Coturnix japonica: one gene and its partners. The protein of the gene in region 2 interacts with the protein of the main gene of each other region in a pairwise test. Links are inferred from orthologs where the notes say so. Each region holds a gene or a part of one and is shown on either strand. Other genes may lie near its edges. The genes, in order: TPD52L2, SH3GLB1 and SYNGR3.

Evidence for each region.
Region 1: the proteins of SH3GLB1 (region 2) and TPD52L2 interact in binary tests that used the Homo sapiens proteins (3 or more experiments, as listed by UniProt). The two-hybrid records come from large-scale screens. The link is inferred for Coturnix japonica from reciprocal best matches to the Homo sapiens genes SH3GLB1 and TPD52L2.
Region 3: the proteins of SH3GLB1 (region 2) and SYNGR3 interact in binary tests that used the Homo sapiens proteins (3 or more experiments, as listed by UniProt). The link is inferred for Coturnix japonica from reciprocal best matches to the Homo sapiens genes SH3GLB1 and SYNGR3.

The regions. Positions count from the first base shown.
Region 1 is NC_029535.1:8,588,828-8,592,573, forward strand, and holds the start of TPD52L2 (tumor protein D54), read right to left. Parts: upstream 2,351-3,746; 5' UTR 2,240-2,350; coding exon 2,221-2,239; intron 1,826-2,220; coding exon 1,680-1,825; intron 741-1,679; coding exon 592-740; intron 1-591.
Region 2 is NC_029523.1:13,928,787-13,932,532, forward strand, and holds the start of SH3GLB1 (endophilin-B1), read right to left. Parts: upstream 2,886-3,746; 5' UTR 2,684-2,885; coding exon 2,612-2,683; intron 2,282-2,611; exon of another isoform or gene 2,260-2,281; intron 2,188-2,259; exon of another isoform or gene 2,166-2,187; intron 1,165-2,165; exon of another isoform or gene 1,150-1,164; coding exon of another isoform or gene 1,069-1,149; intron 1-1,068. UniProt on the Homo sapiens protein: May be required for normal outer mitochondrial membrane dynamics. Required for coatomer-mediated retrograde transport in certain cells. May recruit other proteins to membranes with high curvature. May promote membrane fusion.
Region 3 is NC_029529.1:6,135,721-6,139,466, reverse strand, and holds the start of SYNGR3 (synaptogyrin-3), read right to left. Parts: upstream 2,406-3,746; 5' UTR 2,191-2,405; coding exon 2,092-2,190; intron 1-2,091. UniProt on the Homo sapiens protein: May play a role in regulated exocytosis. May indirectly regulate the activity of the plasma membrane dopamine transporter SLC6A3 and thereby regulate dopamine transport back from the synaptic cleft into the presynaptic terminal.

The DNA of each region.
Region 1 (3,746 bases), on a different chromosome or scaffold from region 2:
AGACTGAATTATATCCCTCTGGGTACCCCAAGGGCCCTTTACATTTGGCAGCTGTGCTCAGATTTACCCCGACTCTCCTTTTGACACTGTCAAACAGTGCAGCAACCATACGCTTTGTACCTGTGTAGTTTTCATTTCAAACCTTCTTTAGGCACAGATATCTCTGCATATGACATTCCTAGCAGACTAATGCTACAGATAGCATTCTCAACTAACACTATGCACTACTAAGTGAACTCCAGCATTTTTTTCACTTCTCTTTGAGCTTGGGCTCAGAATGAGGTAGCAGCAGTCTGTGTCTCAAAGAAATGGGCAGAAACAGACAAAATGAACTGTTAACTAGTGATCAAGGTCTTTAACATCGAGCAAGGGAGCATCCAGCAATGATGCATTCATACCACTGATATGAAAGCTGTTTATGCTGACACATGGCATCCATTCAATTCATTGCATTTTAGAAACATCTTTTACTCTACATACTTATCAGAGCAAAACCCTCCAGCCAGTTGGAAAAGCTCTGGGATGTGCTAAAGGGAAATAAATGCTACAGTCACTATTTCATGTGAAACACACATAACAAGCAACACTTACGCGTTGGAGACTTGTACGTCATGCCAGCTCTTAGACAGGTTTTGCTTCAACCCATCCAAGGGAGTCAAACCTAGCTTCCTCTTCAGCTCTCCACAGTGCCTCTCTTTAGCAGCCAGAACTTGTCTGAGAGTACCAATTTCTTCTTCCACCTTAGAAAGAGACAGATGCGGATCTCAATATCACGGTTTGCTAAGATTCTGGGAATGTATAAAAAGCCCCTGGACCAGTGTTTTAATAGCACTAAAAGAACTCATTCCCCACACTGTAATTTCAACAGTAGACCCATCTAAAAAAGTAAATCAATTACCAAAAGCTCTTTTAGCTAAGGATTCAATCTTATGATTGTTTTCTTCTGCTGTCATTAGAACAAAGAGCTCAGAGATCTTTCTTACTCTGGAGTGGTTTCAGGGCAAAGAGAATTCATTCCTACTTAATTAATCACAGTTTACCAAGACCTGAACAGCCACTCAGAACAGCAAAGTCCTCCCTTGCCAAAACATGCAAGTGAGAGAACCAGCATGAGATTATCAAGTATAAGAAAGAACAATCAACACTACCATCAGCTACATTACACATACAAATTATAAACTGAACTTTAAAGCCCAGAGGGCGCCTAAAATTTGAGGTATGACATTACAGGCTCTCAGCTTTGGAAAAGCATAAATGGAGCTAAAAGAGCCGCCTATGAAACGTGATAAATATTTAAGAGAAAAGGCTGATGATGAAAGCACATTAAGTACCTCATTGTTTCAGCTTCCTAAGGAGAAAGGAGCTATGTTTGCATACAGCTCACCTAAAGTGGTGTTTTCCTGCTTGGAGCAGAGCTAAAAGCCTTGATTAAGCCACTTATTTCTTTAAGGCTCCACATGAAGCAGTTCTGTGGATGATCAGGCAATAACACACACGGTCTGAAATACCTGCCAGCACACCCTGCTCCTACAGCACCCACCAAACCCTCGTTTTTTCCCTCCCATCATCTAGTAAAGGTGTATGTTTGGTGGCCCTGCCAGGCAGGGGGGTTGGAACTACATGATCCTTGAGGTCCCTTCCAACCCGGGTCATTCTGTGTGATTCAGGAGTAGTTTTACCTTGGCGATCTCAGCCCTCAGCTCCTCCTCCTCAGCAGCACTCAGTCCCTCGGGCGCTGCCGTCCTCGCAGCAGCCGCGTTATCCACGGGAACATCCATCATGGCATCGGACAGCAGCCCTTTGTTGGGAGAGTTAAGGCTGATATCTGTCAAAACAAGAAGCACAGAGCACATATAGCAAACAGCCAACAAACGAAACACGATATGCAAAACCCAGAGGGGAAAAGTGAAGAAAAGGACCCTTTGCTCACAGGAAAAAGGAACAAAAACCCTCAGCTGAATTTCCCAAGCCAACGTTGAACAGAAAATAGCGAGGCCTGAGGGAGGGAACAGCAGCACCTCAGCACCAGCCCGGGGGGGCCTCATAGGGGGGACCTCACAGCTGAGGCCTCACAACCTGCCCCTCACACTGAGCCCTCACCTCCTGCCCCCCACAGCCGAGGTCCCACCTCCTGCCCCTCACGGAGCTCCCCCTGTCCTCCAAGAACCCCCCGTCCCTCCTCTCGTCCCCCGACCCCGCAGCCCGTCCATCCATCCCTACCCTGACTCGCACTCTCCATGGCGGCGCTTCGGCCCCGTTCAGCCACCGCCTCCACCCCTGTGACGCAATCACCCCGCGACGCCCTCCTTCTTCCGGGAGGGAATGCGCAGGTAGATGACGTCACGTATCGCATCAATATGGCTGCAGCGCCTCGCCGCGGCCTACGCCTTCCGACAGTGTGACGTCATCGAGGAGGAGGTGACATGACGTCATGGGGGCGGGGGTGAAGTGACGTCATGGGGGCGGAGGGCTCGGAGCGGTGCTGTGCTGTACGGGAGGCTGGAGGGAAGGGGGCAGCAGCGGCACGGCATTGGGATGGCCTGGCCTTGGCCTGGTGCGGCCCGGCCCTAACCCCAACCCGAGCTCCTGTGGCTCCACGCCATTCCTTGGGCCCTGCCGCTGTCACTCCAGTGCCCCTCAGCCCCTTTGAACCAATTAAACACGGGGTCACATCTCTGGATAGGTTGGATGTTAGGGGGAAGTTCTTCACTAGGAGAGTGGTCAGGGCCTGGAACAGGCTGCACAGGGAGGTTGTGGATGCCCCGTCCTTGGAGGTGTTCAAGGCCAGGTTGGACGGGGCCCTGGGCAACCTGATCTATGGGGTCTATGGGGTCTCTATGGGGATCTATGGGGTCTATGGGGTCTCTATGGGGTTCTATGGGGTCTCCTGGGCAACCTGATCTAGTAAAGGTGTATGTTTGGTGGCCCTGCCAGGCAGGGGGGTTGGAACTACATGATCCTTGAGGTCACTTTCAACCCGGGTCATTCTGTGATTCTGTGGATGCTTCTCAACCCCACTATGGGGCTTTCTGCAGGGAGCAGCCTGCCTGCTGTGAGTGGCTGTGAAATAGGGAAGCGATAACAGGGACAGCACACAGCCAGCACTCCGTGCAGCACACAGCTCTTCACATTCTGCTTTTATTGGCTGTGGGGATGAAGGGGCTGATGGTGGGTTTGGAGCCGAAACGCCCCAGCAGTGATAGTGTGCGTTGTGGTGTCACTTGGGGAAGCCCTCAGCCAGGGACTACAGAAGCCCTGGGTAGCTCGGATTGGCACAGATCAGCATGGCATGGCACAGCATGGTACAGATCTGAATTGAATGGCAAACCTTGGCACAAATCAACATGTCATGGCACACCTTGGCATTGCTAGGCCTGGCAAAGCTTGGCACACATCAGCAAGGCATGGCACAGCTTGGCATGGCACCCCTTGGCACACATCAGCATGGCATGGCACCCCTTGGCATTGCTTGGCATTGCTAGGCATGGCACAGCTTGGCATTGCACAGCATGGCTCAGCTTTCCACACATCAGCATGGCATGGCACAGCTTGGTATGGCACTGCTTGGCACGGCAAACCTTTGCACGTATCAGCATGTCATGGCACAGTTTGGCACAGGGCAGCCGTGGCTTTGGGCACCTCCAGGGATGGTGCACATACAGCCCTACCCGAATCCCCTCGGCCGTGGGGAACTCCTGCCCGGTGCGTGCAGTCCCCCACCCCTTCTCCGTTCCAGCCGTGCCGTG
Region 2 (3,746 bases):
GATAGTCAGACAGATTGAAAATACTCAGCTCACGGAAATAGTTTCCAAGTGCAAGTCTAGGACAGCAACTGTTTACTCACATTACTTTCACATGATATTATCCAGACATCCTTAAGAAAACTTACAGATTTAACCTTAGATTAAGTTCAACAACACACCTTCACTACCAGCAAAACAGGGGAGAAGTGTATTAATCACTTCAAGACAACATAATTTCACTTGACATTAAATTTATGCCAACACTTACTAATTCATAACCAGTTTGAAATTCACTATAAGGTCTCCAGGAAAGACAGAAGATGTGTTTTATGTCAGGAAACAAAACAAAACTGGAACTAAGGGTTTGGCCTGCCTCTCTTCAAACAATTGGTTCCTCAGGATGACCTCATCCCTTCACAGCCTGTTCAAAGTCAGGCATATTCAGAAATACTTGGTTAAGAACTACATCCCTAACGAGCTTACCAATTAAGAATGGAAGAGCACCAAAGGATTCCAACTATCAAAATCATTCTTAACAAGCTCTTAGTTGGAATACTTAAACTTACAATAAAAAACAAGAATACAATACAAATAAAACTGAGTTGTCCAAGTTTAGAATAAAAACAACTTTGATAGCACACACATCTGAAGGCTAGATAAATACTATTTATCTATATAAATACTAGTATTTATCTAGGCACCTTTGTGAAAAAGCTCAATCACAGTATAGGAAGACATAGAATTTATGGACCTGCTACTACTATTGTTTAAAAGGCTCTTTAAAACAATAATATGTACTGCAAATAGCTCTCAAAAGCTTTTTAAGATTCATTAACAGACAAGAAAAACAGCTTTGATTCTTGTCTAGTTACGTAGCATTGTATTCGTTTATGAAATGACAATTCCAATTAATATTTCCAAAACTCTTCTCCATAGTGTGGAGACAGCTTAGTGCATGGTAGACTTCATGTACCCACTTGGAGGAAAAAAAGATTAAAAATACAGAGCAACATGGCAAAGAACAGTTTGACAGAAATATGGCTTCCAGCACCAATAAAACGCATCAGTGCTGCCCCTCTGATTTCCCACCTGTTTCCACAGCTTGCTTGAATGTGCCCAGATCACGATGAAGGAAATAGTACTCTTTTGTATACAACACCATACATACATATACAACTCTCCTCCTCAAACATCTTATTTTAGGAGGAGGTGGCAGTCGGTAGAGCCTATTACTATTATCCCCATTAATTTCAGTTCAGATGAAGAAGCCTATCAATGGAGCTATTCAGATCTAAACTAGTAACACAGACAGATCATACTGGAGCAAACCACAGTTTATACCACCTTTAGGCCATGATGGAAAGCCTACATTACATTTAACACACAAAAAAGCATTTACATGGAAAAAGTCAAGATAAAAGATAAAAGTCAAAAGATCCTACCACAGGATCTTACAATGAAGGGTGAGCTGCATCTCCTTCCCCCCTTCCCCTCCCCCTTGTCTTGCAAGAAAAGCTAAAGCTGGAAAGAAATAGATGGTCTGAGAAACATACAGCCCTGAAAGAAGCCAGAAAAACAAACAAACAAAAACCAAACAAACAAACAAAAAAACAAACCCAACAAATGCACTTGGAAAGACCTCCAATGCACAGAAAAGCCACAATTACTATGTGAAGGTAATTTAAGTTTAAGCAACAATGTTTTCTGATGAGTTTGCATCTTTGTTGCTCTGCTGTAACACTGATCGCTGGTTCTGCTTGAATATTGAGATACAGGCCAATAGTTGAGCTGATCTGAGCAGATAACCACTTCAGTCATGTTCCAAACCTGACCCAAGGAGAGAGCACAAGAAATGACTGCGAATTGCTGTGCTCCGTTTTGGATACCCACCTCCCTACAGGAAATCTGTTCAGGTTTGATTATATAAAGAAAGAGGATTACACCTCAAGATAACGGCAGAGGAACAAAAGCCAATTACAGCTCCCTTAACATAAGGGAAAAGACAGATCGAGAAACAACGGGCCGACAAACGAGTCTAAAAGCGACACCACGGCAGCGAACAAAACAACACTAAAGCAGACAGATGCTTTCACGTGTCACGTCAGAGCTCAAGTTCCACCGGTCGGGCAGCAGGACGCGTTCAGAGCGGCCAGTGAAGACACCGGCTTCCTCCACAGGAGTCACACCTTTGTTCTGCTCTAACAGCAGGAGCAGCCCCATCTTCCCCCCAGCTGCCGCTGCCCAGCCCGGCCGCCCCCTCCGCTCTCGGCCTACGCTGACCTTGCGCTGCCCCGCCCGCCGAGCCCAGCTGTTGTGCAACGGGCCGCGGAAAAACGCCCGGACCCAGACACACAGACAGACGGTCAGACAGACTGTCAGACAGACAGACAGACGGTCAGATGGCCGACCGGGCACAGGGGGGCGCGGGGGCACCGCTGGTCCCCAGGCAGCGCGGCCTGGCACTGCCCGCGGCGCGCACAGCCTGCCCGGGGCGGAACCGCGATCCCCGGCCAACGCCCCGCGCCGGGCCGACCCACGGCGGCCTCAAGGACCGGCCTCAAGGACCGGCCCGCGGCCTCGCCCGCTTCCCGACAGCCGGGGCCGCCGCGTCGAAGCTCGGTCGCGGCCGTACCTGCACGGCGCGGCTGAGAAAAGTGCCCGCGTCGGCCGCCAGTTTCTTCATGTTAAAGTCCATGATATTCATCTTCGGCGGGGGCGGGAGGGCGCTGACTCAGCCCCGACACCCGCAGCGGCGACGGCCGCTCCGGCCCGTCCCTGTGGGGATCCGCCGGGGGGCGGTGCCGGGGCCCGACGCAGCCACCGATTGGACGCGGCCGCGGCGTCAGGCGCAGGGCCCGGATCGGCAGCGCGAGTGACGGCGGATGGTCGCCTCGAGCCGCCGTGAGGGAGGGGACGGGCTGCTGTCCCTCATCATGGCCCAAGAAGGGAGAGCTTTGATGTGGGCTGTTAGGAAGCAGATTCACAATGCGTTGTTCTTGTAGCAATGGGTTAAGATTGCCACCTTAGAAGTGATCCTGGTCCCTCAGTCGGGTCACTGACCACACAACCCACACAGCAAGTAACCCTGGGCCGTGTCTGTTTAAGGCTGGAGGAAATCCCAGGGTATGACGGCAGGAAGTGAGCTCCAGAACAAGGAAATAACTGGAAGGATCAACACAATCTTTCTTACGTGCTGGTCAAATTCCAGGAACTAAAACCCAAACATTGCCCAAGCTGTGCAAAAGTATTGTTAAGGAGAGGGCCTGAATGCTGCTGTGTGTGTGTTAGCTCTTGTGTCACTTACATAACAGACACGCACTTGTGGAACTGTTTATATGTAAAAACTTTGTGGCAAACATGTTTCCAAGGTATACTGGCATAATAAGCTCTAGTGAGTCTCTGTTCTTCAAAGAGATGACACAGCGCTACAGATTTAAAATGTGGAGATACAAAGGCAGTTATTGAATTCCAGATCTTTCGTTGGTGTTGTCAGCAGTTGCAGTGGTGGAGATGTTCCACAAGGTGCCAAACAGCAGAGAGCAGCAGTGCCTGATACTGAGGCAGAAGCACCACCTCAGGGAGATGTACCCCAGGGAAGTCTAGGTTGAACACTGTGTATAATCTGGAATTCATAACAGTTGGCATGGCTCAGCTCAGACCAGAACAAAATGCAGCTGGATCTTGAACATTGAACTCTATAGCTGCCCACGAGCTTCACCTATCAGAGAGGAAATTGTTGCCTTGGACCTCAGCCCTTTCCTTCTGAA
Region 3 (3,746 bases), on a different chromosome or scaffold from region 2:
TGGCAGCAAGGATTAAGCCTCCAAGGTTTGCTCCTACAACACAGGTTAAATGTGCTTAAAAAGATGTGACAACAAGCAACAGGAAGGGGAATCACATGAAAAAAGATGCCCCAACACCTACACCCAGCTCAAGGGGTTTCTGAACAAGCCCACAGGCTGTGGTTATGGGCAGGCCAGCAAAGGTGGGCATTACAAAGCAAGTAATGGAAGCGCTGTAGTGGCTGTGGGGCTGTGCTGCACATCCCAGCCTGGCAAAGGGAAGCATCAGGGTGGAACAGAAAGGCAGCAAGATCTTAGACAGATGCTGCTTTGTAGTGCATCGCCTGCCGCCTCCGTCCAAGCTCTCCATCTTAAAACAGGCCGTGGGTTTGATCTGGCACGAGCACTAAAGCTAAAAAGAGCCTTGGCACACTTTGCTTTGCAAAAGCTGCAAGAACAGTGGCCATGCATCAGGCAGAACGGAACTGGCCCCAAATGCCCAGCTCACACCAGCCACATCCCTGCTCATGCTGGAGAGCAGCCAGTGGCAAACAGCTGGGTCACAGCATCACAGCATGGGGACTCCACACCCCTGTGCTGCATCTGCAAGGGAGTGGGTCCACAGCATCTTCCAGCACATGTGAGGCAAGGGAAACATCCACATGGTTTCAGCATGTACTTTCTAGGCCTTACTGAATCTGACAGTGCGCTGCAAACCGTGTGCATGTCATGTTCGTGAAAGCCAATGGACCCCTCCACCTGCTTAGAATTGATCCATTCTGTTGTTGTACATGCCCAGTTTTCTGAACTCAGACCCACAAAATGAATGACTTCTCTACTGAACAGCCAACAAATATCTTCTAAGCTGGGATTTTTAATTCATCTCCCATATGCTGTTCCTATTGCCCCCTAGTCCAAGGAGGGTGAGCTCTCTGGCTGGGTGCTGGCAGATCTTTTTAAAGGGAATCCAACTCAACACCTGTTGGCCACTGATTTATCTGACCATGCCCAAACCAACACGTTGCCAATGGTTTGCCATGTGGAGGATTCCACTGGGTCCCAACCAAGTCCTCCAGATTGAAATGATGCTTCTAGGAAACGCCTGCCAGCAGGAGCCTCACAAATGCCACCCCACACCAGGATGCTCCATATCCATAATCTTCACTTTCCTTCACTAATGGAGCTAAGGGCTTTCTGAAAGCCCTGGCAGGTTGACTGGCTCCAATCCAGCCAAACAATTAAGCATGTGGCTGAACTTCGAGCATGTGATTGCAGCTGGAACTGCTCATGTGCTTGAAGATAAGTGCATGTTCCCATGTTATGTTGTTCAGTCACCCCAGGGTCCCCTTGCACACTGCCTGACAGCAGCTAGAGGGGCAGCCCCTTCCCTCAAACCTCCCCTTCCTGCATGCATGTGGCACTGCTGAAGGTGACACAGAGCCAGCAGCCATGGCCCCCATGCACAAGTGAGGATGAGCCCCCAGGGCCCAGCTCTGAGAACCAGAGCCTGCAGCAGCAGGGTTGAGACTCCACACTTGGGGTTTGGGGCATTGCAGAGCTCCCTTGGCCATGCATGCTTGCTAATCGTAGCAGGCGAGAGCTGGACACTGCAGCCTGGCAGCACAGCTCTCTGGCTGCTTATTCATGAGAGCAGCAACGGGTAAAGACTTCACCGAGTGGCTGCAGCACAGATCCCACCTCTTGTTCCTTACTGCACAGCAGAACTCACATATGAGAAAGGACCAGCAAATATGACATCCATCTGGATGAACAGGGGGGAGCCAGGGCTGGCTGTAAGATTTCTTCTCTCTCACACATGCACACAGAGAGTATGGATGGGAAGAAAATGTCCTCTGCTTCTGTGCTGCACCCTGCTCTCTCACACTCAAGCACCAGGGATAAAAGCACTGCAGGGCTACGGCATCATCCACCCGCTGCACCGTGCCCGTCCCCACGGAACTTCCCACGGGAGCCAGCAACCAAAGCGCTGCCGGCTGCACACCGCACGGCCACCGCACACCGCATAAGCGTGCACAATACCCGGGTACCGCAGACCGCACGGGCATCGCTCTGTGCCCGGTCACCGCACGCTGCCCGCCTCGCCTTACCCACCCAAGCCGTCGCCCGGAGGATGGTTTGCGGCTGCTTAAGGAAATCCACAGGATCGACGGCACCGCCGGCCCGGCCCGCTCCGAAGGACGATCCTTCCATCTTCCCCCACCGCCCGCTCCGCTCCAGCGCCGCTCCGAGCCGAGCCGAGCCGTGCGCGCTCCCCGCGCCGGCCGCGCGCCTGTCCGCCCACCCCCCCGCGAGCCTTTCGCGTGGGTTCGTCCGCAGCGCCGCGCGCGGGCAGAGGGAAGAACCACCCGCGGCGTGGGGGGGGGCAGCGGCAGGTGAACGAGACCGGAGTGATGAGAACCGCAACGAGACCACCTCACATCGGGGGAGGTCGAGATCACTGCGCCGTGCTGGCACTGAGTGCCATGGCCACGGACAACGTGCTGCAAACGGGAACACCGTGCAATGACCACAGACAGCACGAGATGGCCATGAGCATCATGATACAGACAGGGACAGCATGCAATGGCCATGAGCATCATGATACAGCCAGAGACATCATGCAATGGCCATGAGCATCATGATACAGACAGGGATACCATGCAATGGCCATGAGCATCATGCCACAGCCAAGGACACCATGCAATGGCCATGAGCATCATGATACAGACAGGGACAACATGCAATGGTCATGAGCATCATGATACAGCCAGGGACATCGTGCAATGGCCATGAGCATCATGATACAGCCAGGGATACCATGCAATAGCAATTGGCACCATGCAATGACCAAAAACATCATACCACAGTCAAGAGACACCATGCGATGACTGTAAGTGTGATGCTACAGCCAGGGATACCATGCAATGACCACGAGCACTATGCAATGACTGTGAACACCATGTTATAGCCAGGAACACCACGCAATGGCCATGCTGCAGCCATGGGCACCGTGCTACAGCCATGATGAAAACACTACAATGGGACACTATGCTGTAACTTGGGACATTGTGCTGCAACCATCATTACTGAGCAGCAGTGCTATAGCTGTGGAACATGTGTTGCTGCTGCTGGAGTCCCCATGGTGCAGCTGCAGTCACTGTGCTGTGGCTGAGGTCACCTCTCGGAACACGGCCAGCCTGCAGAAGCAACCACATTGCAGCTGGGACACCTTACTACAGCTACGGCCACCACACCAAATTGAGGTGTATAGCCAGGGCAACCCATGCTGCTGGAGCAGAGGTGCTGTGACCTCAAGCACAAATGGGGCCACATCACCACACAGACCTGGTGCAAAGTGGTAGGAAGCAAAGACAGATGGAGCTCCCACTTTGCTTGAGTGGGAAGGGAAACAACCAGAGTCATGGGACAGGATGAGGCCAAGACCCATCCCTTCCCCAGGGAAAAGACGAAGGATAGAAAGGACAGAAAGCCTGCAGAGGGAAACCCTCAATTATTACAAAGGGAGTTTCCCCCCACAGCTCCAGGACCTGGCTCCTTAGCTTTCGTAGCACCGTGACGATGATCCTGGTTCCATAGATACCGATACCATGACAACTCTGACATCATCTCTGCTTCGGACAGGAACTGCAGGGAAGGCGCAGGGAGCAGTACGCATGCACGGCTGGCACTGAGCAGGCCTGCAGGCAAAGCTGGGGGCTGCAGGTGCTCCATCACCACCTCCCCCCAGATCCATGCAGCTCGCTGTC